Elephas maximus indicus: one gene and its partner. The protein of the gene in region 2 binds, or shares a complex with, the protein of the main gene of each other region. Links are inferred from orthologs where the notes say so. Each region holds a gene or a part of one and is shown on either strand. Other genes may lie near its edges. The genes, in order: FCGRT and ALB.

Evidence for each region.
Region 1: the proteins of ALB (region 2) and FCGRT are in contact, whole or in part, in a crystal structure (PDB 6QIO), measured with the Homo sapiens proteins. The link is inferred for Elephas maximus indicus from reciprocal best matches to the Homo sapiens genes ALB and FCGRT. Residues at the interface, in NP_000468.1 of Homo sapiens: Arg105, Glu106, Thr107, Tyr108, Gly109, Glu110, Asp113, Asn133, Asn135, Gln441, Ser443, Pro445, Thr446, Glu449, Leu484, Leu487, His488, Thr491, Pro492, Val493, Tyr521, Val522, Pro523, Lys524, Thr530, Phe531, Thr532, Phe533, His534, Asp536; in NP_001129491.1 of Homo sapiens: Arg65, Glu67, Glu69, Gly72, Ala73, Val75, Trp76, Gln79, Val80, Ser81, Trp82, Trp84, Glu85, Lys86, Thr89, Arg92, Asn172, Lys173, Leu175, Thr176, Leu179, Phe180, His184, Glu188, Arg192, Gly195, Asn196, Trp199, Lys200, Glu201.

What each region holds. Positions count from the first base shown.
Region 1 is NC_064829.1:99,977,416-99,990,051, forward strand, and holds the start of FCGRT (IgG receptor FcRn large subunit p51), read left to right. Parts: upstream 1-8,150; 5' UTR 8,151-8,228; coding exon 8,229-8,250; intron 8,251-8,472; exon of another isoform or gene 8,473-8,560; coding exon of another isoform or gene 8,561-8,579; intron 8,580-9,208; coding exon 9,209-9,295; intron 9,296-10,449; coding exon 10,450-10,701; intron 10,702-10,899; coding exon 10,900-11,175; intron 11,176-12,636. UniProt on the Homo sapiens protein: Cell surface receptor that transfers passive humoral immunity from the mother to the newborn. Binds to the Fc region of monomeric immunoglobulin gamma and mediates its selective uptake from milk.
Region 2 is NC_064823.1:84,361,229-84,373,013, reverse strand, and holds the start of ALB (albumin), read left to right. Parts: upstream 1-5,920; 5' UTR 5,921-6,040; coding exon 6,041-6,144; intron 6,145-11,785. UniProt on the Homo sapiens protein: Binds water, Ca(2+), Na(+), K(+), fatty acids, hormones, bilirubin and drugs. Its main function is the regulation of the colloidal osmotic pressure of blood. Major zinc transporter in plasma, typically binds about 80% of all plasma zinc.

The DNA of each region.
Region 1 (12,636 bases), on a different chromosome or scaffold from region 2:
TAAATATAAAATCTAAAACGACAAAGATCATGGAAGAAAAAATAGGGACAATGCTAGGAGCCCTAATACATGGCATAAACACTATACACAACATTACTAATAAAGTAGAAGAGAAACTAGATAACTGGGAGCTCCTAAAAATCAAACACTATGCTCATCCAAAGATTTCGTCAAAAGAGTAAAAAGACTACCTACCGGTTGGGAAAATGTTTTTAGCTATGACTTTTCTGATCAGCGTCTGATCTGTAAAATCTATATGATACTGCAAAAACTCAACTACAAAAAGACGAATAACCCAATTAAAAAATGGGCAAAGGATATGAACAGACACGTCACTAAAGAAGACATTCAGGTAGCTAACAGATACATGAGGAAATGCTCACGATTATTAGCCATTAGAGAAATGAAAATCAAAACTAAAATGAGATTCCATCTCACTCCAACAAGATTGGCATTAATCCAAAAAACACAAAATAATAAATGTTGGAGAGATTGTGGAGAGACTGGAACACTTCTACACTGCTGGTGGGAATGTAAAATGGTACAACCACTTTGGAAATCGATTTGGTGCTTCCTTAAAAAGCTAGAAATAGAACTTGCGTATGATCCAGCAATCCCACTCCTTGCAATATATCCTAGAGAAATAAGAGCCTTTACACGAACAGATATATGCACAGCCATATTCATTGCAGCACTGTTTACAATAGCAAAAAGATGGAAGCAACCAAGGTGTCCATCAATGGATGAATGGATAAATAAATTACGGTATATTCACACAATGGAATACTACGCATCAATAAAGAACAATGATGAATCCGTGAAACATTTCATAATGTGGAGGAATCTGGAAGGCATTATGCTGAGTGAAATCACTCAGTTGCAAAAGGACAAATATTTTATGAGACCACTATTATAAGAACTCGAAAAATAGTTTATGGACTGGACAATGGGATAGAAAATGATGCTGGTGAAGAATGAGCTTCTTGGATCAAGTAGACACATGGGACTATGTTGGCATCTCCTGTCTGGAGGTGGGGTGAGAGGGCAGAGAGGGTCAGAAGCTGGCGGAGTGGACACGAAAAGAGAAAGTGGAGGGAAGGAGTGTGCTGTCTCATTAGGGGGAGAGCAATTAGAAGTATATATCAAGGTGTATATAAATTTTTGTATGAGAGGCTGACCTGATTTGTAAACTTTCACTTAAAGCACAATAAAAATTTTAAAAAAAGAAAAATAGTTTAAACAGAGAAGAAAATATTCTTTGATGGTTACGAGAGTGTGGAGGGAGGGAGAGAGAGGGATTGTCACTAATTAGATAGTAGACAAGAACTATTTTAGGTGAAGGGAAAGACAACACACAATACAGGAGAGGTCAGCACAACTGGACTAAACCAAAAACAAAGAAGTTTCCTGAATAAACTGAATGCTTCGAAGGCCAGCATAGCAGGGGTGGGAGTGTGGGGAACATGGCTTCAGGGGACATCTATGTCAACTGGCATAATAAAATCTATTAAGAAAATATTCTGCATCCCACTTTGGAGAGTGGTGTCTGGAGTCTTAAACGCTAGCTAGCAGCCATCTAAGATGCATCTATTTGTCTCAACCCACCTGGACCAAAGGAGAATGAAGAACACCAAAGATAAAAGGTAATTGTGAGCCCATGAGACAGAAAGGACCACATAAACCAAAGACTACAGTAGCCTGAGACCAAAGAACTAGATGGTGCCCAGCTACAACTAATGACTGGCCTGAGGGGGAACACCAGAGAGAAACCTTGAGGGAGTAGGAGAACAGTGAGATGCAGACCCCAAATTCTCGTAAGAAGACCAGACTTAATGGTGTGACTGAGACTAGAAGGACCCTGGATATCATGGTCCCCAAACTTTCTGTTAGCCCAGGACAGGAACCATGTCCAAAGCCAACTCTTCAGACAGGGGTTGGATTGGACTATGGGATAGAAAATGATAATGGTGAGGAGTGAGCTGCTTGGATCAAGTAGACACATGAGACTATGTTGGCATCTCCTGTCTGGATGGGAGATGAGAGGACAGAGGGGTCAGAAGCTGGCAGAATGGACACGAAAATAGAGTGGAGGAAAGGAGTGTGCTGTCTCATTAGGGGGAGAGCAATTAGGAGTGTATAGCAAGGTGTATATATAAGTTTTTGTATGAGAAACTGACTTGATTTGTAAACTTTCACTTAAAGCACAGTAAAAATTAAAAAAAAAAAAACTCTATGGACCACAATGTTCCCACTCACAGCTGATCATGGGGATGGCACAGGGCTGGGCAGCGTTTTGTTCTGTTGTGCACGGGGTCACCATGATTCAGGGGCTGGCTCAACGACAGCTGACAACAACAGGGCAGACCCCTAAGAGGCCTCGTGACCCAACTGACCATTCCCCATCTAAGCAGCGAACCCTGAGGCCATTAGAACAGAAAGGAGAGGCGATCAGAAAGGGCATCTGGGTATGGGCAGATGTCTATTGTTGTTGTTGTTAGGTGCCCTCGAGGCAGTTCCAACTCATAGACACCCTATGTACAAAAGAGCTAAACACTGCCCAGTCCTGCGCCATCGTCACAATTGTTGCTCTTTCTGAGCTCATTGTTGTAGCCACTGTGTCAATCCATCTTGTTGAGGGTCTTCTTGTCTTTAACCGGCCCTCTATCAAGCATGATGTCCTTCTCCAGGGACTGGTCCCTCCTGATAACATGTCCAAAGTATGTGAGACAAAGTTTCACCATCCTTGCTCCTAAGGAGCATCCTGGCTGTACTTCTCGCAAGACAGATTTGTTCTTTCTTCTGGAAGTCCATAGTATATTCAGCATTCTTCACCAACACCATAATTCAAAGGTATCAGTTCTTCTTTGGTCTTCTTTATTCATTGTCCAGCTTTCATATACACAGGAGGCAACTGAAAATACCATGGTTTGGGTCAGGCTCACCTTAGTCCTCAAGCTGACATCTTTGTTTTTTCACCCTTTAAAGAGGTCTTTTGCAGCAGATTTGCCCAATGCAATACAATGCAGATGTCTATAACATGCAGAAAAACAGCCCTCAAATATGTCCACGACCTAATCCCCCGGAACTTATAAATGAATATATTACCTCACTTGGTGTTATGTATTGAACTCTGGCCCCCGGAAAATATGTGTTGTCAATCCTAATCCCTACCCCTGTGGTTATTGGAGTGTCGGTGGCACCGTGGCTAAACACTCAGCTGCTAAGGGCAAGGTTGGTGGTTTGAACCCACCAGCCGCTCAGCAGGAGAAAGATCTGGCAGTCTGCTCCCATAAAGCTTTACAGCCTCGGAAACCCTATGGGGCACTTCTACACTGTCCTATAGGGTCGCTGTGAGTCGGAGTCTACTTGACAGCAATGGGTTTGGTTTTTTGGTATACCTGTGGTTATAATCCCATTTGTTATGTTAATGAACAGTATTACTGTCAGGTATGTCTTACGCACTGCAGTGAATTATTTAATAGGGCCCTTCCAGCCATAGTCTTAGTAACTCCCACTAAACTGGGTGGGACTATGCAAATGAGGTATATGAACCCTAACGAGGGGATTGGTCAAATTTGCCATCCCACTAGGCTTAAAGGGAGACATTGAGAGAGAGTAGGAGATGTAACATGGAAGACAGACAGGGACAGCTGTGACAACTGAGATGCCAAGAAGCAGCTGCAGAGAAACAATGGCAGCGGAGGCAGGAGGCTGGCAGGAGAGAGCGCAGTAGGCTTCCTGGCCCAGGGAGCAAGAAAGCTGAGCACCTTTGAGCTCAGTCCTTGGCCTGGACTCTGCTCTGCTCAGAGAAATGTGACAAAGCTATTTTTGCTCTGCTGATAAGTGCCTTGAGGCACCCCACTCCACCTGAAAGCCTGGGGGCTTGGTGGCAGGAGCTCAAGGGCTCCTTCACTCAAGTGACCTCATTTGCAGGTCCAGGGCAATAGAGAAGAATCCTAGAAAATGTTTTGACAGGGTGTAAAAATGGTCTGGTGGAGGTGTCTGGCCTCCTCCAGCTTCACAGGGAGGAAGGAGAATCCAGATCAACAGCTGAAGGGTGATTGCTATGAGGCAGAGGTCAGACATACCTCCTCTCTTGGCTATCTTTACTAATTCTGACACCATCTGTCCCTCACATGACACTCTACTTCTCTGCTGGGTTTGATAATTCGTTAAAATGTCCACAAAGAACTCAGACCACACTCACAGTTATGTGGTTTATTAGAGAAGCAACAGGTTACAATTCAGGCTCAGGAACACTCAGGGTACAATTTTTCCATCAGGACAGCCTCTTCCCAGCCATGCCTGCAGGCACACCTCTCTCTGGCCCCTTGGCCTCTCAGCCCCTTTGCTGGCCTCTGCCCTGCTTGGCAAGTGTTACAAAACTTCTAGCTCTGCTGATAAGTGCCCCAAGGCACCCCACTCCACCAGTAAGCCTTGGCCCGAAGGTGCTCACCTCTAGCTCCACGGGTTGGCAAACCTAGCTCCACCAAGTGCCCAGAGGGACCCTACTCTGCCAGCAAGCCTTCTGCCTGAAGGTATTCAGTTTTCTTGCTCCGGGCTGGGAAGGCCACCGCTGTCTCCTGTCAGTCTCCTGCCTCTGCTGCTGTTGTTTTCTGCCGCAGCTTCTGCCTTCAGTGTTACATTCTCTCTCTCTCTCTCTCTGTTTCCTGGTTCCAGGAGTTTCTCAGCACAGGGATTCCGGATTCTTTGGGACACGGCTCCACTCCTGGCTCTTCCTTCTTGGTGGTGGTAAGATCCTCCCTTCCCGCCACTGGGATGGCTCATTTTAAGCCTAGCAGGATGACGAAAGTGAACAATCTCCTTATTAGGGTTCCATATACCTTATTTGCATGGTCTCAGTCAGTCATTGTGTGTGAGTGACAAAGACCGTGGCTAGAAGGACCATATTAAGTAATGCATTGCACTGTACAGGGCCCTGGGACCATTGGCGCTAGACCCAGAGTATCTAAAGATGACATCCAGAGCCCCAGAGCAGGACCAAGAGGCCTTCTGCAGCAAGGTCTCAGGTCCTTCAGGGTGGGGTAGGGGGTCATGACAATAAGTTCCTAGGAGAAGGTAGAGGTTTTGTACCAGAGGGCCTGTCTAATTGTTGCTTTCTATATATCTGTCTAGCTCCATTTTTTTGTCTTTCTGTCTGACTGCTTGTCTATGTATCTGTTTTACCTACGTATCTATCTTTGTCTTTCTACTTGTCTATCTGAGTATCTACTTTGTCTATATTTCTGTTTTTCTATCATCTGTCTACCTACCTACCTACCTATCTCTCTGTCTGTCTTTCCTGGGGAGGCTCTGAATAGGGCAGGGCCTGATGAGAGGCAGTGATAGAGGGAACCCAGGAGTGGGCTTGGGAAGCCTTACAATAGAAACGGGGGCAATTAGAACAGCTTGGTAGCAGGGCAAAGGTCGGATTGAGGGCAGTTTATGGCAATCCTGAAGCAGGTCACAGTAATGGCTCTACTGGGATTCAGGACTCAATTAGCAGCATCCAGGACGTGGGGTGGCCGACTCCGCAGGATGTTAGCATAGACTCTTTTTTTTTTTTGGCTTTAACAAACAGAAATTAATTCTCTCACAGTTTAGGAGGCTAGAAGTTCGAATTCAGGGCTCCAGTTCTAGGGGAAGGCTTTATCTCTCTATTGGCTGTGGGGAAAGTGTCTTGTCATCAGTCTTCCCCTGATCTAGGAATCCTGGGTCCAAAGGACATGCTCCACTTCTGGTGTTTCTTTCTTGGTGGCATAGCATAGACTCGAAGGCCATTATGGCTGGGTCTCAAGATACTATCACAGAACCCAAGGGGGCATGGGGATGGGCACCAGAGATTATCAAATGAGCCCCAGGGGCACGGGGTGAGGAGGAACCCTCCTAACCACGGTCCCACAGGGCCCCAAGCCCCAGGGACATGGGTTGTACAGCTGTTACTCCAGCAGAGCCAGGAGGTCCTCAGGGGACCTCCAGGGGGCAGTGTAGAGGCATGGATGGCACAGTGGAGTCTTGAGGCCATTTTAATGGGCCAGGAGGCATCATAACTGGACGATATGTACCTTATACCAGGGCTTAAGGGGGCCTTCAGAGAAGTTCTGGGGACTCTTAAAGTGGGACATAATAGCTCTGGGGACATTTTAGCAGGATCTCAGAATATGTATGAAGGGGTATTTCAGGCCTTTGAGTATCATAGTGGGGTCCACAGTCATTACAGGGAGATGCCATAAATGTTCTAGCAGACCTCTGGGAACATAAGCTCTAAGACTGGGTCATTATAGCCGGCCCCCAGGGTGATATTATTCAAATTTCAAGGAAAGATATCGCAGGGTCCTGGGGCTGTTGTAACAGGACATTTGGGCTTTATTCCAAGGAGTATTATAGTAGCGTCCTTGGGAACTTTCCACCAGTTTGTCAGAGTGTAATGGCTTATGTGTTGCTGTGATGCAGGAAGCTATGCCACCAGTATTTCAAACACCAGCAGGGTCACCCATGGTGGGCAGGTTTCGGCAGAGCTTCCAGACTAAGACAGACTAGGAAGAAAGGCCTGGTGACCTACTTCTGAAATTCAGCCAATGAAAATCTTATGGATCACAGAACATTGTCCAACTCACTTGCTTTGGACACATAATCAGGAATGCTCTCTCAGTGAAGGAGGATATCATGTTTGGTGAAGTAGAGGGCCAAGGGGTGGGGGGAGACCCTTGGCGAGATGGATTGGAACAATAGCCACGACATGCCAGTGATGGACTCAAACATGCCAGTGACTGTGAGGATGGTGCAGGACCGGGCAAAGTTTCATTCTGTTATACATAAGGTCACAGTGAATAGGAGTTGACCTGACATCAGCTATCTATCTATAATCCATCTGTCTGTCTGTCTACCATTTATCTATCTATCCGCCTAAGGGACTTTAAAGTGGGACCTCACGGGCTGCTGTAAATAGTTCTCTGGAGGTATTATACCAGGGTTCCAAGGAACGTAGAAGGGACAGCTAGGGTCATGGCAGATCCCTCAGGGTATCTTAGGGAAGAGCTGACGATGCTGTAATAGGACTCCTGGGGCACTAAGGCAGGATCCTGCAGACTCATTGGTGGTGGATCCTAGGGGTGAATCTCAGTGGGTGTTCTAGAAGGACCCAGGAAGAGTAATAAAAATGACTGGCGGTTTCTGAAAAAGTTAAGCATAGAATTACAATATGATCCAGTAATTCCATTCCTAGGTCTGTACCCCAAAAAATTGAAAACAAGTGTTCAAACAAAACACTTGTACACAAATGTTCATAGCAACAGACGAATGAGATAAACAAAATGTGGTCTAGCCAACAAAACGAAATAATAATATTCAGCCACAAAGAGAAATAAAGTTCTGATACATGCTATGGCAGGAATGAACCTTGAAAACCTGACGCTAAGTGAAAGAAGCCAGACACAAAAGTGATTCCAATTATATGAAATGTCCAGAAGAGGCAAATCTTTAGAGACAGGAAGTAGATTAGTGGTTGCAAGGGGCTGGGAGGAGGAGGAATAAGGAGAGACGGTTTAATGGATATAGGTAGTGCACAACATACAGGTATTTAAGTTACGATGAATAGCACTTACAACTGTCCTTTTTTTTTTTTTGTACATCTTATTGTTGGTAACAGGTTGCAGGTGTAACTTGCTGATGTTATCATTCTCAGACGTTCGTTCGCAGATCTTTAATTTTATGATTTTACTGTTCAAAACATTGCCGGATTTATAAAGACACTGATAAGAAAAGGCAATAATAATGAAAACTTAAAAAAAAAAAAAAGAGATATTCAACTTATGTCAGAACCCACTTATCAGAGTCACAGAAAGAGAACCCCGCCGTAAGTCGGGGGCTACCTGTATAGGGTTTCCTTTTGGCGTGATGGAACAGAAACGTTCTGAAACTACTAGTGGTAGTGGGTGCACAGCATTGTGAATGAGCTAAATGTCACTAATGGTAAATCTTATGTGTATTTTACCACCATTAAAAAAATGAGTGGAAGCATTATAGCAAGAGCAGGGGATGTGGTGGGTGACCGGGAGGGGGTTCTACCGCGGGATAAGAGGGTGTTGGGGTTGTGTGGTTATGCGGCAATGTCAAAAGGGCACTGACTGACACAGCAAGAGCAATTCAGGGGAACGCTTCCGGGAATAGCTCTAAGGGGGAAATAGGCATTTCGAGAATTTTCTTTATGGCAGAAGCTTGCGAAGGCCATGATGGGGGGTGCACAAGGAGGTAAGAAGGGGCCCACAGAGGCCTACACATCTTGGACTCTAACCGTGTTCAGTTCGGATCCCACTGGATTCGCTGGGTGGCTGACACCCTCAGAACAAAAAACAGGGAGCAACAGAGAAAGAAACCACAACAAAAAAAGACAAAAGTTTCAAGAGAGGCAGAGAAAAACACCAGCGGAGAGGCTGGGCGGGCGGACTGGGGTGTGCCCTGCAGCTGGGGGGCGGGGTTGGATATTCTTGGGGTTAGGGAACAGTCTCCGGACAGGATGTAAGGGAGGAACTGGGGTCTCCAGTCACGGGAATCTGCTGGGATGCAGGCTGGGAGCGAACGTAAGCAGGGCTGGGGGCCCAGACTCCCGGGTCTGAGGGGGGAGGGGCCTGGGGGCCAAGACTCTCGGGCCAGGGGGAGGAGGGGCTGGAGACCCGGACTCCGGGGTCTGAGAGAGGAGGGGCTGGAGACCCGGACTCTGGGGTCTGAGGGAGGAGGGTGCCGGGGGGTCCAGACTCTGGGGTCTGAGGGAGGAGGGGGCTGGGGGTCTGGACTGCCGGGTCTGAGAGAGGAGGAGGCTGGGGGTCTGGACTGCCGGGTCTGAGAGAGGAGGGGGCTGGGGGTCTGGACTGCAGGGTCTGAGGGAAGAGGGTGCATGGACTCCTGGGTCTGAGAGAGGAAGGAGCCCGTGGCCTGTACTGCTGGGTCTGAGGGAAGAGGGCCGGGCCCAGCTCTGCAAGAGGAATCTCAGCTTATCCAGGCTCTGTAATTAATTAACTAAAACGGATCAAATTAAGGGGTGAAAGTTCAGGGAGGAGGAGGAAATTTTTTTTTTTTTTTTTAATAAGAATCTGTCGCCCTCCTGACCGAGCCCCCCGACCCGGCCCCAGCCGCCCGGGTCCTGGGCCGCCCCGCGGGTCCAGGGGAGGAAGAGGAAGGGCTGGCTAGGTCACCCGCCTCCCTCCGCTAGGTCTCAGGCTCAGGATGAGGGTCGCCCGACCACGGCCCTGGGGACTCCGTGTGCTGCTGCTTCTCCTGCCTGGGACGCTGGGCGCAGGTGAGGGGCCTTGGGGAGGGCGGCTGCGGATAGACGTGAAGCCCAGCCAGAGAAATCTGGGTTTTCACCAGAAACCAGTATGCTCTTCTCCCCTGCTTTAAACGTTGTTTATCACTTTCTTCTCCCGCGGCCTCTGTGACTGGGAGCCACCTCTCACTTTTCTCAGGGTTTCTGTCCCCATTTCCCTGGGTCTCAGCACCCCTCTTTCTCTGGGTCTCTGTGCCCCTCTCTCTGGGTCTCTATCCCCACCTCTCCCTGGGTCTCTGTCCCTCTTGCTCTCTGGGCCTCTGTCCCTCTCTTTCTGGGTCCTTGTCCTCTTCCATCTGGGTCTCTTCCTCCCTCGCTTTCTGAGTCTCCTCCCCCCTCTCTGAGTCTCTTTCCCTCTCTGGGTCACTGTCCCCCCTCTCCCTGGGTCTGTCTTCCTCTCTCTCTGGGTCCCTGTCCTCTTCTTTTGGGTCTCTGTTCCCCTCTCTCTGGGGTCTCTGTCCCTCTTTCTGGGTCTCTGTCCCTCTCTCTCTGGGTCCTTGTCTGCCTGTTTCTGGGTCTCTGTCCCCCTGTCTCTGGGTCCCTGTCCTCTTCTTTCTGGGTTTCTGTACCCCCTCTCTCCCTGGGTCTCTGTCCCTCTCTCTCTCTGGGTCTCTGTCCCCCACCTCTGGGTCTCTCTCCCTCTCTCTCTAGGTCACTATCGCCCCTCTCTCTGAGTTCTGTCCCACTCTCTCTCTGGGCCCTTGTCCTCTTCTCTCTGGGTCTCTTCTCTCCTCAATCTCTGAGTCTCTGACCCCCCCCCCCGGGTCTTGTCCATCTCTCTCTCTCTGGGTCTCTATCCTCCTCTCACGGGTCTGTTTCCCACTCTCTCTGGGTCTCTGTTCCCTCTCTGTCTCTGGGTCACTGTCCCCCGCCTCTGAGTCTATCTCTTTCTTTCTGGATCTCTGTGCCTCTCTCTCGATCTCTGTTCCACCTTCTCCCTGGGTCCCTGTCCTCTTCTCTGAGTTTCTGTTTCCCTCTCTCTGGGTCTCTGACCCTCTCTCTCTGGGTCTCAGTTCCCCCCTCTCTGTGAGTCTCTGTTCCCCTGTCTCTGAGTCTCTGTCCCACTCTCAGTTTAGGCCCCTACCCCACCTCTGCGTGCTCTCTTCATCTCTGTCTCTCTCCGGCAGACAGCCATCTCTCCCTCCTGTACCACCTCACTGCTGTATCCTCCCCTACCCCGGGGACTCCTGCATTCTGGGTATCGGGCTGGCTGGGCCCACAGCAATACCTGAGCTACAGTAACCTGCGGGCCGAGGCCGAGCCATGCGGGGCGTGGGTCTGGGAAAACCAGGTGCCCTGGTACTGGGAGAAAGAGACAACTGACCTGAGGAACAAGGAGAAGCTCTTTCTTGAAGCTCTCAAAGTCGTGGGAGGAAAAGGTAAGGCCTGGATTCCTGGGTCTCAGTGAGGAAGGGGCTGGGGGCCTGGACTCCGGGTCCGAGGGAGGAAGGGGCTGGGGGCCTGGACACTTAGGTCTGAGGGAGGAGGGGGCTGGGGGACCTGGATTCCTGGGTCTGGGTTAGAGAGGTTGGGGGCTTGGACGCGTGGGCCCCACTCACCTGCATGTGGCCCCCCAGATCCCCTGACCCTGCAGGGTCTCCTGGGCTGTGAGTTGGGACCAGGCAACATCTCAGTGCCCACGGCCAAGTTTGCCCTGAACGGTGAGGAGTTCATGACCTTCAATCCCAAGGCGGGCAACTGGAGTGGGGACTGGCCTGAGGCCGAAGCCATCGGCAACCTCTGGAAGAAAGAGGCTGAGGTCGTCAACCAAGAGAGGGCCTTCCTGCTCAGCTCCTGTCCTCAGCGGCTGCTGGGCCACCTGGAGTTGGGGCGAGGGAACCTTGAGTGGAAGGGTAAGGAGCTCCTGAATCACTCTTGCTTCTTCCATCCTCTCTCCTGACCATGGCCCTGGGCTCCTGCCGGGCCTCCTAGCCTCCCTGCTCACAGCCCTCTCAAGGCTCCCACCCGGCCCCCAGCACAGAATTCCAGCTCCTACCTTTAATGACCTCATCAGACCCTTTCGGCTTCACTTGTCTTCCTTCACCTGCCCATCAGAGTCTACACTCCAGCTCCACCCCCAGTTGGCTGTGCCCCATCTAAGCAAAGCCCTTCCTCTGAGTGTCTGCTCATGCGATTCCCCTGGCCTGGAACACCCTTCCTGCCTCTCTCCACGTGTTCCAACCCTGCTTAGTTTTCAAGGCACAGGCTGAATATCACCCACTTTGAGAAGCCCTCCCCCAATGTAGCTGTTTCCTTCCCAGAGGCCCCCAGGCCTCCATTCATCCAACAAACGTTGGCTGAGTGAGAAGAACTGACTACCTGATGACATGAAGGAATTGTAATTAAGTATTTGTAGGTGTAAGGTTCTTGGGTGGTACAAAAAACAGCAACACCTAACCAAAAGGTTGGTAGTCGGAACCAACCCAGTGGTGCTACAGAAGGAGAGCCTGGTGATCTGCTTCCTTAAAGAATAAACCAAACCAAACCCATTGCCGCTGAGTCTATTCCAACTCATAGTGACCCCATAGGGCAGGGTACAACTGCTCCACAGGATTTTCTAGGCTATAATCTTTACAGAAGCAGAATACCATATCTTTCTCCTGTGGAGCGGCTGGAGTGGCTGCTGGTTTGAACCACCAACCTTTCAGTTAGCAGCCAGGTGCTTAACCGCTGTGCCATCAGGGCTCTTGCAAAGATTACAGCCAAGAAAACCCTATGGACAGACACCCTTTTAACTCAGACCTGAAGTCTCTCCCAAAGTTCACCATTCAGCCAAAGATTAGACAGGTCTATAAAACAAATAGTTTAACACACGTGAGGAATGTGCTTCTTAGTTCAATCAAGTATATGAGACCAAATGGGTAACACTTGCCCAAAAGCAAAGATGAGAAAGCAGGGAAGAGACATGAAAACAGGACAAATGGAAATGGGGAACCCGGGGTGGAGAGGGAGAGAGTGTTGACCCATTGTGGGGATTGCAACCAATGTTACAAAACAGTTTGCTTATAAATCGTTGAATGAGAAACTAATTTAGTCTGTAAACTTTCACATAAAGCACACTCACACAAAAAGAAAACCCAGTGGAGCAGTTCTACTCTGTAACACGTGGGGTCACCATGAGTCAGAATCAACAGCAATGGGTCATTAGTAGGTATGATAATAGTTTTGTGGTATTAATTTTAAGTGCCCTTACCAACTAGAGAAGTCCCTGACTGATCCTAACCAAAAGGTTAGGTGCCTCAGAAGAAAGGCCTGGCAGTCTACATCCAAAAAATCAGCCATTGAAAACCCTATGGAGCACAGTTCTACTCTGA
Region 2 (11,785 bases):
CCAGAGAGTAGTGATGGCTGGTGTTTATCTAATGTGACGAGAGCCACAGAATCTTCACTCTATATTGTCTCCTTTGGTGTTCAAAACTGTCAGCTTAAGCTTTCATTCATTTAACAGATATTTACAGACAGCCTACTATGTATGTTGAGTCCCTGTGTGGTGCAAGTGTCCACCTGGAGGCATCTCAGAAGAAAGACTTGGTGATCTACTTCTGAAAAATCAGCCACTGAAAACCCTGTGGAGCGCAATTCTACTCTGGCATGCATGGGGTTGCCATGAGTTGGAGCCAACTCCACAGCAAATGTTTTTAAAATTTTGCGTATTTGTTTATCATGTATGTAATTGGCAGTGGGCTAGAACTTGGGAATACAAATAGTGAGCAAAACACCAGCATGGCTCTACTCTTACTGAGCCTACAAGCTAGGTGGAGGAAAGATATTATACATTAATCAAAAAATTCATGAAAATTATAGCTAAATATAATGTAATAATACAACTATACCATATAACTATAAAATGATATAGCTATAATGAATAAAAATTATAACTATGTTAAGTGTTCTAAAGAAGAAATAAATGATATTATGATTCAGTATAAACTGGGACTTGCTTTCCTGGGAAATTATGGTTGAACTGAGATCTTAGGGAGAATAGGAGTTAACTAGGTGAAAAGAAGTGATAAAACGTAGCCACCCTAAGTCCCTGTGGCTAAAGGAATTACGGTGTCTTCGAGGTGTTGAAAGAAGGCTATTGTTGCCACAGTGTCAGAGCTATGAGAAGCATCTTGTCAGATGAGTGCAGAAAGCAGGTAAAGGGTAATCATACAGGGTCAATTTAAAGATTTCTGTCTTTACCCCAAGAAAGATGGGTTGCCATAGACATGCATTAAGCAGGAGAGTGCTATGATATGTGTTTTGAAAAGATCGTTCTGGTTGCTTATGTGGAGGAGTCCAAAATGATGCAGGGAGACCAATCAGAGGCTGATGTGGTAAATCCAGGCAAGATATAATGCTGGTTTATACTATGTCGTTAGTGGTGGAGGTAGCTAGAAGTGATTGGATTGATCAATAGACCGATCTATCTATATCAAGATATATTTATATATATATATTTTTAATAGTGGTAAATAAATCAGAAAAACCAATCCCACTGCCATCGAGTCAATTCTGACTCACAGCGACTCTATAAGACAGAGTAGAACTGCCCCATAGAGTTTCCAAGGAGCGCCTGGTAGATTCAAACTGTTGACCTTTTGGTTAGCTGCCGTAGCTCTTAACCACTACGCTGCCAGGGTTTCCAGCGGTAAATATATGTGTAATAAAACATTTGCCATTTCAACATGCTTCACAAGTGAATTCAGAGACTTTGTGTCCATCGTGCAGCTATCACCATTATCTGTTTCCAAATTTTTCCATCACACTTAATGTAAGCTCAATGTCCCCTGAGCTATGAGTTTCCTTCTCCTCTCCTCCCCATCCCCTTGCACCTTCCCCTGGTAATCACTAATAAACTAAGGTCTGTATACACTTGCCTAATCTGGATAATTCATACAAGTGGAATCATACAATATTTGTCCTTTTTTGACTGATTTATTTCACTCAGCATGATGTTTTAAGGTTCATCCATGTTGTAGCTTATATCAGGGCTTCATTTCTCTTTCTGGCTGAGTAGTAGTCCATTGTACGTGTCTACCACACTTTGTTTATCCATTCATCTGTTAATGGACATTTAGACAGTTTCTACTTTTTGGCTATTGTGAATAGTGCTAAAATGAACATTGGTGTTTGGTTTCCTGCTTTCAATTCTTTTGGGTATATACCTAGAACTAAAATTGGATTGTATGGTAATTTTATGTTTAACTTTTTGAGGAACTGCCAGACTATTTTCCACAGTGGCTATACCATTTTACAGTCCCACAGCAATTAATAAGGTCTCCTATTTCTCCATATCTTCAGCATATAAAAATAAATCAAGCTTTTATACATAAGCAGCGAGTAATCTAAAAAGGAAATTAAGGAGGCAATTACATTTACAATAGCATCTAAAAAAAAGAATAAAATACCTAGAAATAAATTTAACCAGGGAAGTGAAAAACGTGTACAGTGAAAACTAAAAAACATTACTGAGAGAAATTAAAGATCTAAATAAATGCGAGTGAGGGCAGTGGTGGTTCAGTGGTAGAATTTTCCCCTTCCATGTGAGAGGCCCAGGTCTGATTCCTGACCAATGCACCTCTTGTACAACCAACACCTGTCTGTCATTGTCGCTCTGATGCTGAACAAGTTTCAGCAGAGCTTCCAGACTAAGATCGGCTAGGAAGAAAGGCTGACAATCTCTTCCAAAAATCAGTCAATGAAAACCTTATGGATTACAGCAGTTTAATCTGCAACCGATCAAGAGGATGGCATAAGACTGGGCAAAGTTTTGTTCTGTTGTTCATGAGGCTGCCAGAGTTGGGGCTGACTTGACAGCAGCTAACAACAACAATAAATAAATGGAAGGACATTCTGTGCTCATGATTGGAAGACTTTATATTGTTAAGATTTCAATACTACCTAAAGAGATCTATAGATTAAATGCAATACTCATAAAAAATTCAACAGCCTTTTTTTTGAGAAATGGAAAAGAAGATACTTAAATTTATATGCAATTGCAAGGGGCCCTGAATAGCTAAAGCAATCGCGAAGAAGAACAAAGTGGGAGGGCTGACAGGTTCTGATTTCAAAACATATTATAAAGCTACAGTAATCCAAACAACCTGGTACTGGTATAATAAACATATAGACCAAGGAAGTAAAATTGAGATTCCAGAAATAAACCCATACATCTAGGATAGACTGATTTTCGACAAGGGGGGAAGAAGTCTTTTTAATAAATGGTACTGGGAAAACTGGAATTCCACATCCAAAAGAATGAAGCTGAATCCGTATCTCACATCACATACAAAAACTAATTCAAAATGAACCAAAGACCTAAATGTGAGAATTGAAACCATAAACATAAGGGTATTGCTTTAGGACCTAATTCTTAAAAATGGACTCCTGGATATGACACCAAAAGCAAGGACAACAAAAGACAAAATAGATAAATGGGACTTCAACAAAATTAAAAAGTTTTCTTCATCAAAGGACTTATCAACAAAGTGAAGAGACAATTTTCAGACTGGGAGAAAATTTTTGGAACCATACATCCAGTCGGACCCCGGTGGCGCGGTAGTTAAGCACTTCATTGCTAACCAAAAGGTTGGGAGTTCAAATCTACCAGCTGCTCCTTGGAAACCCTATGTGACAGTTCTACTCTGTCCTATAGGGTCACCATGAGTCAGAATTGACTTGACGGCAACTTTTTTTTTTTTAATCGAATAAGGATTTAATACTCAGAATATATAAAGAACTCCTACAACTTAACCACAAAAAGACAAACAACCCAATCAAAAAATGGGCAAAGGACTTGAATAGACATTTCACCAAATAAGAAATACAAATGGCCAATAAGCACATGAAAAGATGCTCAAAATCGCTAGCCACTAGGGAAATGCCAATCAAAACCAAGAGACAGCACTTCAAGACCATTTAAGATGGTTATTTCTTTAGAAATGGAAAACATCAAGATATATTTTGAAGTAAGAGTACATGGGACTTGCTGACAAGTTAGAAAGCCCTGGTTGCTATAAAGGGTTCACTACCAAGTGGAATCGACTTGACGGCAACTGGTTTGTTTCATTTACTAAGGTTTGGAAGGCAAGGAAGGGGCAGGGACTGATCTGCAGAAGAGAAATGGACAGCATATGGTAAGGAAGGTGAGGCAGAGGATGGATGGCCATACTATTTGTCATAAAAGGGAACCATGGGTGAAAGACATGATAATTTCTTTGAGGGAACCAGCCAATGGGAGCTGGCCAGCTGATTTGACCAGGGTGGTCATAGACATAGCAATTGCTAACCCACATGTTGGAGCATCTAGACAGCACTGGATGTAGGAAGAGAAGATTCATGTGCTGCAAGGCCTGGATGATGGTGAATATGAAAACTGCAGAAGCCTTAAATCAGAAGATGTCCATAGCTCCTTTTGGGTTAGTTTGGATATCTCTCAGGAACTGACTTATGGCAAAGGTAATGGTGGTGCTAGGTAGGGCAAAGGTAATGGTGGTGCTAGGTGATGAAGGATAGCAGAGGGAATAAAATCCATATTTGTTGTAGAATAGGAATGTAAAAATTGTTACAGACCAACTTCTTTGTTGTAATGTGGATGACCTAATCATATATATTTTTTTAATATAGAAGACTATGGAAGTTTTCTTTCAATACCTGGTTGATACATTCTTTTTATCCTCATCTGTGGATAGCAGGTAAGAGAAGGGTGAATTCAGACAGGGAAGAATTTGTGGATGGCCTCCAGAAACAGACTAATTGCAGTGCAGGGTCTCACTCTAAGTTGTCCAGTAATTTATAGAGATGAAACACCTCCCTAATCAGCAAGGCAGTAGGGTCTGACGAAGAATATGATCCAATGTAAAGGTCAATTTGTACGGAGTCTTGGTGAAAGCATTAAGAATTATGTTAAAGATTTATGAAGGGGGAAGGGCTACGACAAACCATGGTAACAGTTTCTCAATAACCTCTGACAGATTAAGAATGGGTATAATTTTTCTTAGGACCATACTCCTGGGAAATCTATAGGATTTGCCCCAGTCATATCCTGAGCCTGCCCTGGTTCTATATGCAAATCAGCAATGGCTTTTTGTTGTCGTTGTTTAAGCAAGAAAGTTTTGTCGAAAAAAGGACTGATTACCATAGCTCCCCAAGTGTCACGCACTTGAATGCACCTCAGTATCTAGCCAAAAAAAAAAGAAAAACCAAACCTGTTGCCGTTGAATCAATTCCAACTCATAGTGACTCTGTAGGACGGAATAGAACTGCCCCATTGGGTTTCCAAGGCTGTAATCTTTACGCAAGCAGGCCACCACATCTTTCTCCGCGGAACAGCTGGTGGATTCAAACCGCTGACATTTTGGTTAGCAGCTCAGCAATTTAACCAATGTGCAACCAGGGCTCCTGCAGCCAAGTGAGCACTCAACAAATATTTATTGAATGGATCAATTCAATAGACCCATCCAGAAATAAAAGAAGAGCACTCAGAATTATTGGGTTAAAACAAGAAAGTTAAACCCAGATTATGGAGACTCTTGGACTTTGAAAATCCCTGGGTGGTGCAAACTGTTTGTGCTTAATTACTAACGTAAAGGTTTGAACCCACCCAGTGGTGCCTAGGAAGAAAGGCCTGGTGATCCACTTCCATAAAAACTACACCCAAAAAAGACCTGTGGAACAGTTCTACTCTAACGTATGCGGTCAGCATGAGGAGATGACACGACTCAGTGACAGCTCACAACAGTAACGGGACCTTGAAAAGTAGTTTAGACTGAATGTGGTTGGGAATAGGGACTCACTGTTGAAAATGCTTTCAAAAGATTATAATGTTAACAGTTTGTACTTCTACTCTGTGCCTCAGGGATGATGACACATTCATTAAAAAAACAACAAAAATGCATAAAATTGAAAGGCTGAAATTTTTGTTTTCTTTAATTGAAAATCATTCATTTAAAGCAGACAGTATCCTTTTTAGATAATTTTATGGCACAACTATTAAGCTTTTATATTTTTAAAACACAAATAAATTTTTAGAATTATCTACTTTCTGTAGAATATTTAAAAGAAATTCCTGTTTGAGAATTTGAGTTGCACATCTTTACCAAAGGTCTTTATATATATATATATATACTTTTTAGAAATAGCTTCCTTTTGAAAACCAAACCAAACCAATCCAAACAAACGAAAAAATCCAAAGTTTTCTTCAATCAGGGTATTAAGGGTTCATGCTAAATTCAAAATACTAAAATCAACTATGACAATCTGTACTTTTTAATGCTTTCTGTGTTTTTTTGGTTGTTGTTGTTACAAAATAATCCATATACTGACCTAGGTGTCCTATCTGGAAAACTTGGTTGTTAACCTGTGAGTGTGAAATTTCACGTTCAAGTATGTTAGTTGACAGTAGTAAAGACTTAAAAATCATTTTCCTCCAAAGTGATTTGACGACGTTAATGAATACCTGGGATCACTTAAACATGGTCATTGGAGTAGTGTAAGTATTTTTAATTCATCTCAGCCCCTCACAATTTTTACTTATATTATACAAAAGCATAAAAAATTATAATAGTATTTCCCTCTTAAAATTCTGATTGTTCTTGTCCCAATGTGTCTTTATTATTTCAGGATTGTTAGTTCTGGGTCTTCTGTCCTTCTATGTTTTTTTTTTTACTTTCTCCTTCCCGCATACATATACATTATTCCTGTGCCCTGATGCACATTGTGACAATTTAGAGACACATATAAGAATTTTAGTGAGCCAGGAGAGATCAGACTAACAGGAAAAGGCTTGCCTTTGCATAGTTGAAAGGCTCTTTGTTGCCCTGGGCAGCATTTATCTAATTCTATACATTCCTGTGTTTAGAACATGAGAATACACGGTTGGAAGCTGTACAAAAACATGCCTTACACTGCCCAAGTCTCAGTGTGCTCAGAACCTAGCATAGTATTTATAGTATAGTAGAGAACCATATAGCTTGGAAGTAAAATCAACAGTCATTTACATATATGTAATTTATATACTATATGCTATAACATGTTATATGAATATAACTATTCTATTCTCATTTTCTCTAGCTCTCTCTTTCCTTTCTTCTTCCTTTCCTCTCTCCTTCCCTCCCTCCCTACTTTCCTTTTCTCCCTCCCTTCCCCTTTTCCTCTCCATTTCTCTATCTGTAGAGTTTGCTATCTAAAGTACATAGTAAAAAGAATTTACTGTACTTTTAAGAACATTATCTTTAACGTATTTTCATATGTGTAATTATTAGTTTTATCAGACTTAGAAGAAATGTATGTTTCTTGGAAGCAAAGATGGCAAGGCTTCAGCTCCCTTACTTTGTGCATGTCATCAAGAAAGACCAATCTCTAGAAAAGGACATCATGTTTGGTATAGAGTTAGCAAAAACGAGAAAAAGTCTCAATGCGATGGATTGACCCATTAGCCTCAACAATAGGCTCAGGCATATCAAAAATCATGAAAATGGTGGCACAGGACCAAGCAACATTGCCTCCTCTTTTATATAACGTCACCACAAGCCGGAGCAGACTAAAAAGCAATGGCTAAAAAGCAACTAACAACAACAATTATTAGTTTTAGGATACCTTTAGGTTCCTGAAATACAAACCAAAATGCAAAAGTTTAGTGACCAAAAATAGAATATAATGACTATGTATATATACACAATTGTTTTAGCTTCCCAAGGCTGACATAACAAAATAAAAGTCAGTGATTTTAAAGAAGAGAAATTTGTTGGCTTACAGTTTTGGAGTCTAGGAATCCAGATTCAAGGAGTCAGCCGGGCCATGCTTTCTCTGTTTCCACTCTAGGGGAAAATCCTTCCTTGTTTTTCCAGCTTCTGGTAGCCTCAAGTGTCCTTGGTTTTCCTGGAGTTGTAGATACAACGTGTCTTCCCTCTGTGTGATTCTATTTCCGGGTCTGTTCTCTCCTTTACAAAACAGTACTTAGAAAAGATCAGGACCCACCCTACTCTGGTATGACCTCCTAAAAAAAAAAAAAAAAAACTGATAAGGTCTTCAGAAAAAGAATCTGCTTTCAAAGAAGGTCACATTTACAGGTACAGGGGTTAAGATTTCAATATATCTTTAGGGGGACACAATTCAATCCATAAAAAAAAAAAAATGTAATATGACGTGTATTCAGAAAAAAAAAACAAAGCCTAGCAACACTTAAACTTCTTAGTAAATCATTTTGGGGAGCTCTGGAGAGCACTTCAAAATGATAGGCAGTAATCTGGAAGAACTCACATTGAGACCACAAGAGGCCTGTGCAACTCCAATTGGAGAGACAGATCACACACAGGAAAACACAACGAAAAGAAAGCAGACAGTTGTTTTAAATATGGGCCTAAGTCAAAATTCATAAAGAAAGAAGCTTTGATTTTAGGTATTGATCTCCACTTGAACTGTTTTTTGAAGGGGTAACACTGTGTATTATATTGCAGGATGTGAGGCAGCAGGGCTTTATTCATTATTCAGGGTGGTCGATAACTCTCCTAACCAATGCTGGAAAGGTCAGCTGGCTATATATGATAATTTATTCTAATATATAACAAATCAGATATTTTAAATCAATGGAGGATTGAAAAAAATCTTGTCAAAAAAGTAAAGATTAAAATATATTTATTGGCCTACATACAATTTGAAACAGTTTATAGAATATAAAAGAGCACATGTGACTATTTTAAATAAAAAGCAATTAACTGGGAACATATTAATCTCCATATCTATATCATATAAAAAGTTCACATAAAGTGATAAGCTAAATAACAAATTCTCAAAAAAAATGAAGAGACCAGAATGCTTCCAGAATTAGTACTGCTTAGTACATATTTTCATCATGACTCATGGCAACCCTATAGGACAGAGTAGAACTGCCCCGTAGAGTGTCCAAGGACCATCTGGTGGATTTGAACTGCCGACCCTTTGATTAGCAGCCGTAGCAGTTACCACTTCGACGGCACTGGGTTTGGTTTTTTGGTTTTTAATACATATTTTATTATTTAATTTATATTATTATTCTATTATTTATATTATTATTAGATATAAAGTTATAATTTTATTTATTTGTATTTGTATATCATATTTTATATTTCAGATATGAAAATATTAATAATGACACAAGGAAAATTTTTCAATTTCGGTAGTAATTGAAAATACAATTTAAAATAACACCATAGTATAATTATTTTATTATTATTAATGTAGCAAAAATTTCAGAAAAGTTAAAATGGCTAACGGTGAGATTATGATGAAATTGTTATATTTTTCCGGTGTTGGTGTAAATTGCCCAAATGAGTTTGTGAAGTTATTTGGCAGTGAATATTTCTCCTTTTGATTCTCTAATCCTTCTCACACAAATTTATTCTTGTGAAAAATTCCAAAAAGGAAAAAAATGATATGCATTATGATTTCATAGAGTGGGGGAGTGAAAAATATATATGACCAATGAAAGGGAATTGCTTAAATAAATTATGGTGCTGTAACTCAGTGAAAGAAGTCTGGTGGTGCAACAGATAAGCGCTCAGGCTGCTAACTGAAAGGTTGGACGTTCGACCAGGTAACCTACTTCCATGAAGGTTATAGCAAAGAAAACCCTATGGAGCAGTTCTACTCTGTCACATGGGGTCTCTATGAGTTGGAATTGACTTGATGGCACCCAACAACAACTCAGTGAAATACTATGCTGCCATTTTTAGGAGATTGAGGTACATGGAGGATAATAGTGAGGTGTTTCACAATAACTGAGAATTAAGAAAAAAAAATTTTTTTTTTTTGTAAAAGTGATGCTGTAAAATCAAAATATAGTGAATCAGGGCAGAAAAGATAGAAAAGCTCCCAGACCAAAAGTATGTATCTGTAACCAGAATGAATTTATTGATACATTTAAAGAAAGAATGCCTAAATTGAGGGTAAGACTGATCAGCAGTGGAAACAAACAACCAAGAAAAGGAGTCCTGAAGACAAAAACAGGTGTGCCTATCCAGCACTGACTAGGACCTCATCTGATCTTTCTTAGAAGTGATTGACGCTATTATGGAGCCAGGCTTTCAAATTACACTAGGGTTCCCTTTGTTCATAGGCTACACTAATCATGCAGCCTCCCTGCGATTAGACTTCCCAAAGTGATAGTTACGGCAAAGCAAACACGGGCGATAGACTTGATAGTCACATAGTTCATCCTAAACTAATAAGTAGCTGTTTTAATTTCGTCATATGTCAGTCTCTTTGAGATGGGTGAGCATGACTTAACATCATGGAATTCAACCAATTCTGGACTAGAGAGCAAATCAGGGGTCAAGCCTGTGAGGATGAGGGAACAATGAAGAATTTACCAAGGTAGATGTCACCTGTGAACATGACTGGTTACCTAGCCTTCCACAAGTAATAGTCTTGGTCTACATATTAAGATGATAATTATAAATCCATGCAGCATGGAGAAAAACATTTTTGATACAATGTTCAGTGAAAGATAAAGCACAAAATTTTGTCCATCACGAGTGCAACAATTTAAAATATACATAAATATGGACACAATAGTCATGGAACAAGGGTAAAGAAACAGGGACTATGATAAAGTGATGAGCATGTCAGTAATATTTCTTTGTCTTTCATTGCCATTTTGTTTGGAAACCTTAGAAAAACCAGGAGGAAGAATAAAGGCAAACTCTGCATTGCATGGATATAAAATGTTTCAATAATCATATCTAATCATATAAATTGGAAACCCTGGTGGCATAGTGGTTAAGTGCTACGGCTGCTAACCAAAGGGTCAGCAGTTCAAATCTGCCAGGCGCTCCTTGGAAACTCTGTGGGACAGCTCTACTCTGTCCTATAGGGTCGCTATGAGTCAGAATCAACTTGATGGCACTGGGTTTGTTTTTTTTGTTGTTTAATCATATAAATTAATATAAATAATAGACTATCTAATAATAATATAAAGTAAATAATACAAAACATATATTAAGCAAATACTAATTTTGGAAGCATTTTCACCTCCAACTGACCCATGATTCATTATGTCCAATACATGGTAACAGAGAACACTCAAATTCAAAATGTAGGTGCAATAGCTACCTAACTATATACCTCATTCCAAAAAGAGTATTTTCTGAATATGTGGCTTTCCAATCCTCAGATAACTGGAAACATATTGAGCATTAAAAGTCATCTTCCAGGAAACAACTGAAATGCCCATCAACAGATGAATGGATAAACAAAATTTGAATATATATATTGATGTTAGGTGCCATCAAGTCAATTTCAACTCATAGAGACCCTATGCACAACAGAATGAAATGCTCCCTGGTCCTATGCCATCCTCACAATCCTTGCTACATTTGAGCCTGTTGTTGCAGCCAGTGTCAGTCCATCTCATTAAGGGTCTTCCTCTTTTTGCTGACCGTCTGGAATATTACTCAGGTATAAAGAGAGACAAAGTCCTGATGCATGCCACAACTTGGGTGAAGCTTGAAAACATTATGCTGAGTGAAATGAGTCAGTAACAAAAAGACAAATACTACGTGATCTCACGTGACATAAGTAAATATGTAGAAATCAAAGATTATTAGTGGCTACCAGTGCTAGAAGGGAGTAGGAAGGGGAAATTTTTGCATAGTAGGCATTGAATTTGTATTAATGGTGGTGGCATAATTTGAAAAAGGTCAGCAATAATGGTTGCACAACAATAATATAATCAATGTCCCTGAATTACACATGTAGAAATTGTTGAATGTTTTATTGTGTATATTTTCGCTATAATTAAAAATACAACTAGAGAGAAAAAATTCACCATCTGAACATATCGTTGTTGTTATTAGTGACACTTGAGTCAATTCCGACTCATGGTGACCCCATATGTGACGAGTGAAACTGTTCCACAGGGTTTTCAAGTCTGTGACCTTTTGGAAATGGATTGCCAGCCCTGTCTTCTGAGGCACCTCTGGGTGGGTTCAAACCGCCAATCTTTCAGCCAATAGTTTCAACCAGTGGTTGAGCCCTTAACCATTTGGGTCACTCAGGGACTACTCCCAAATATATTAAAAAACCCAAACCCACTGTCCTCAAGTTGATTCCAACTCATAGCAACCCTATAGGACAGAGTAGAACTGCCCCACAGA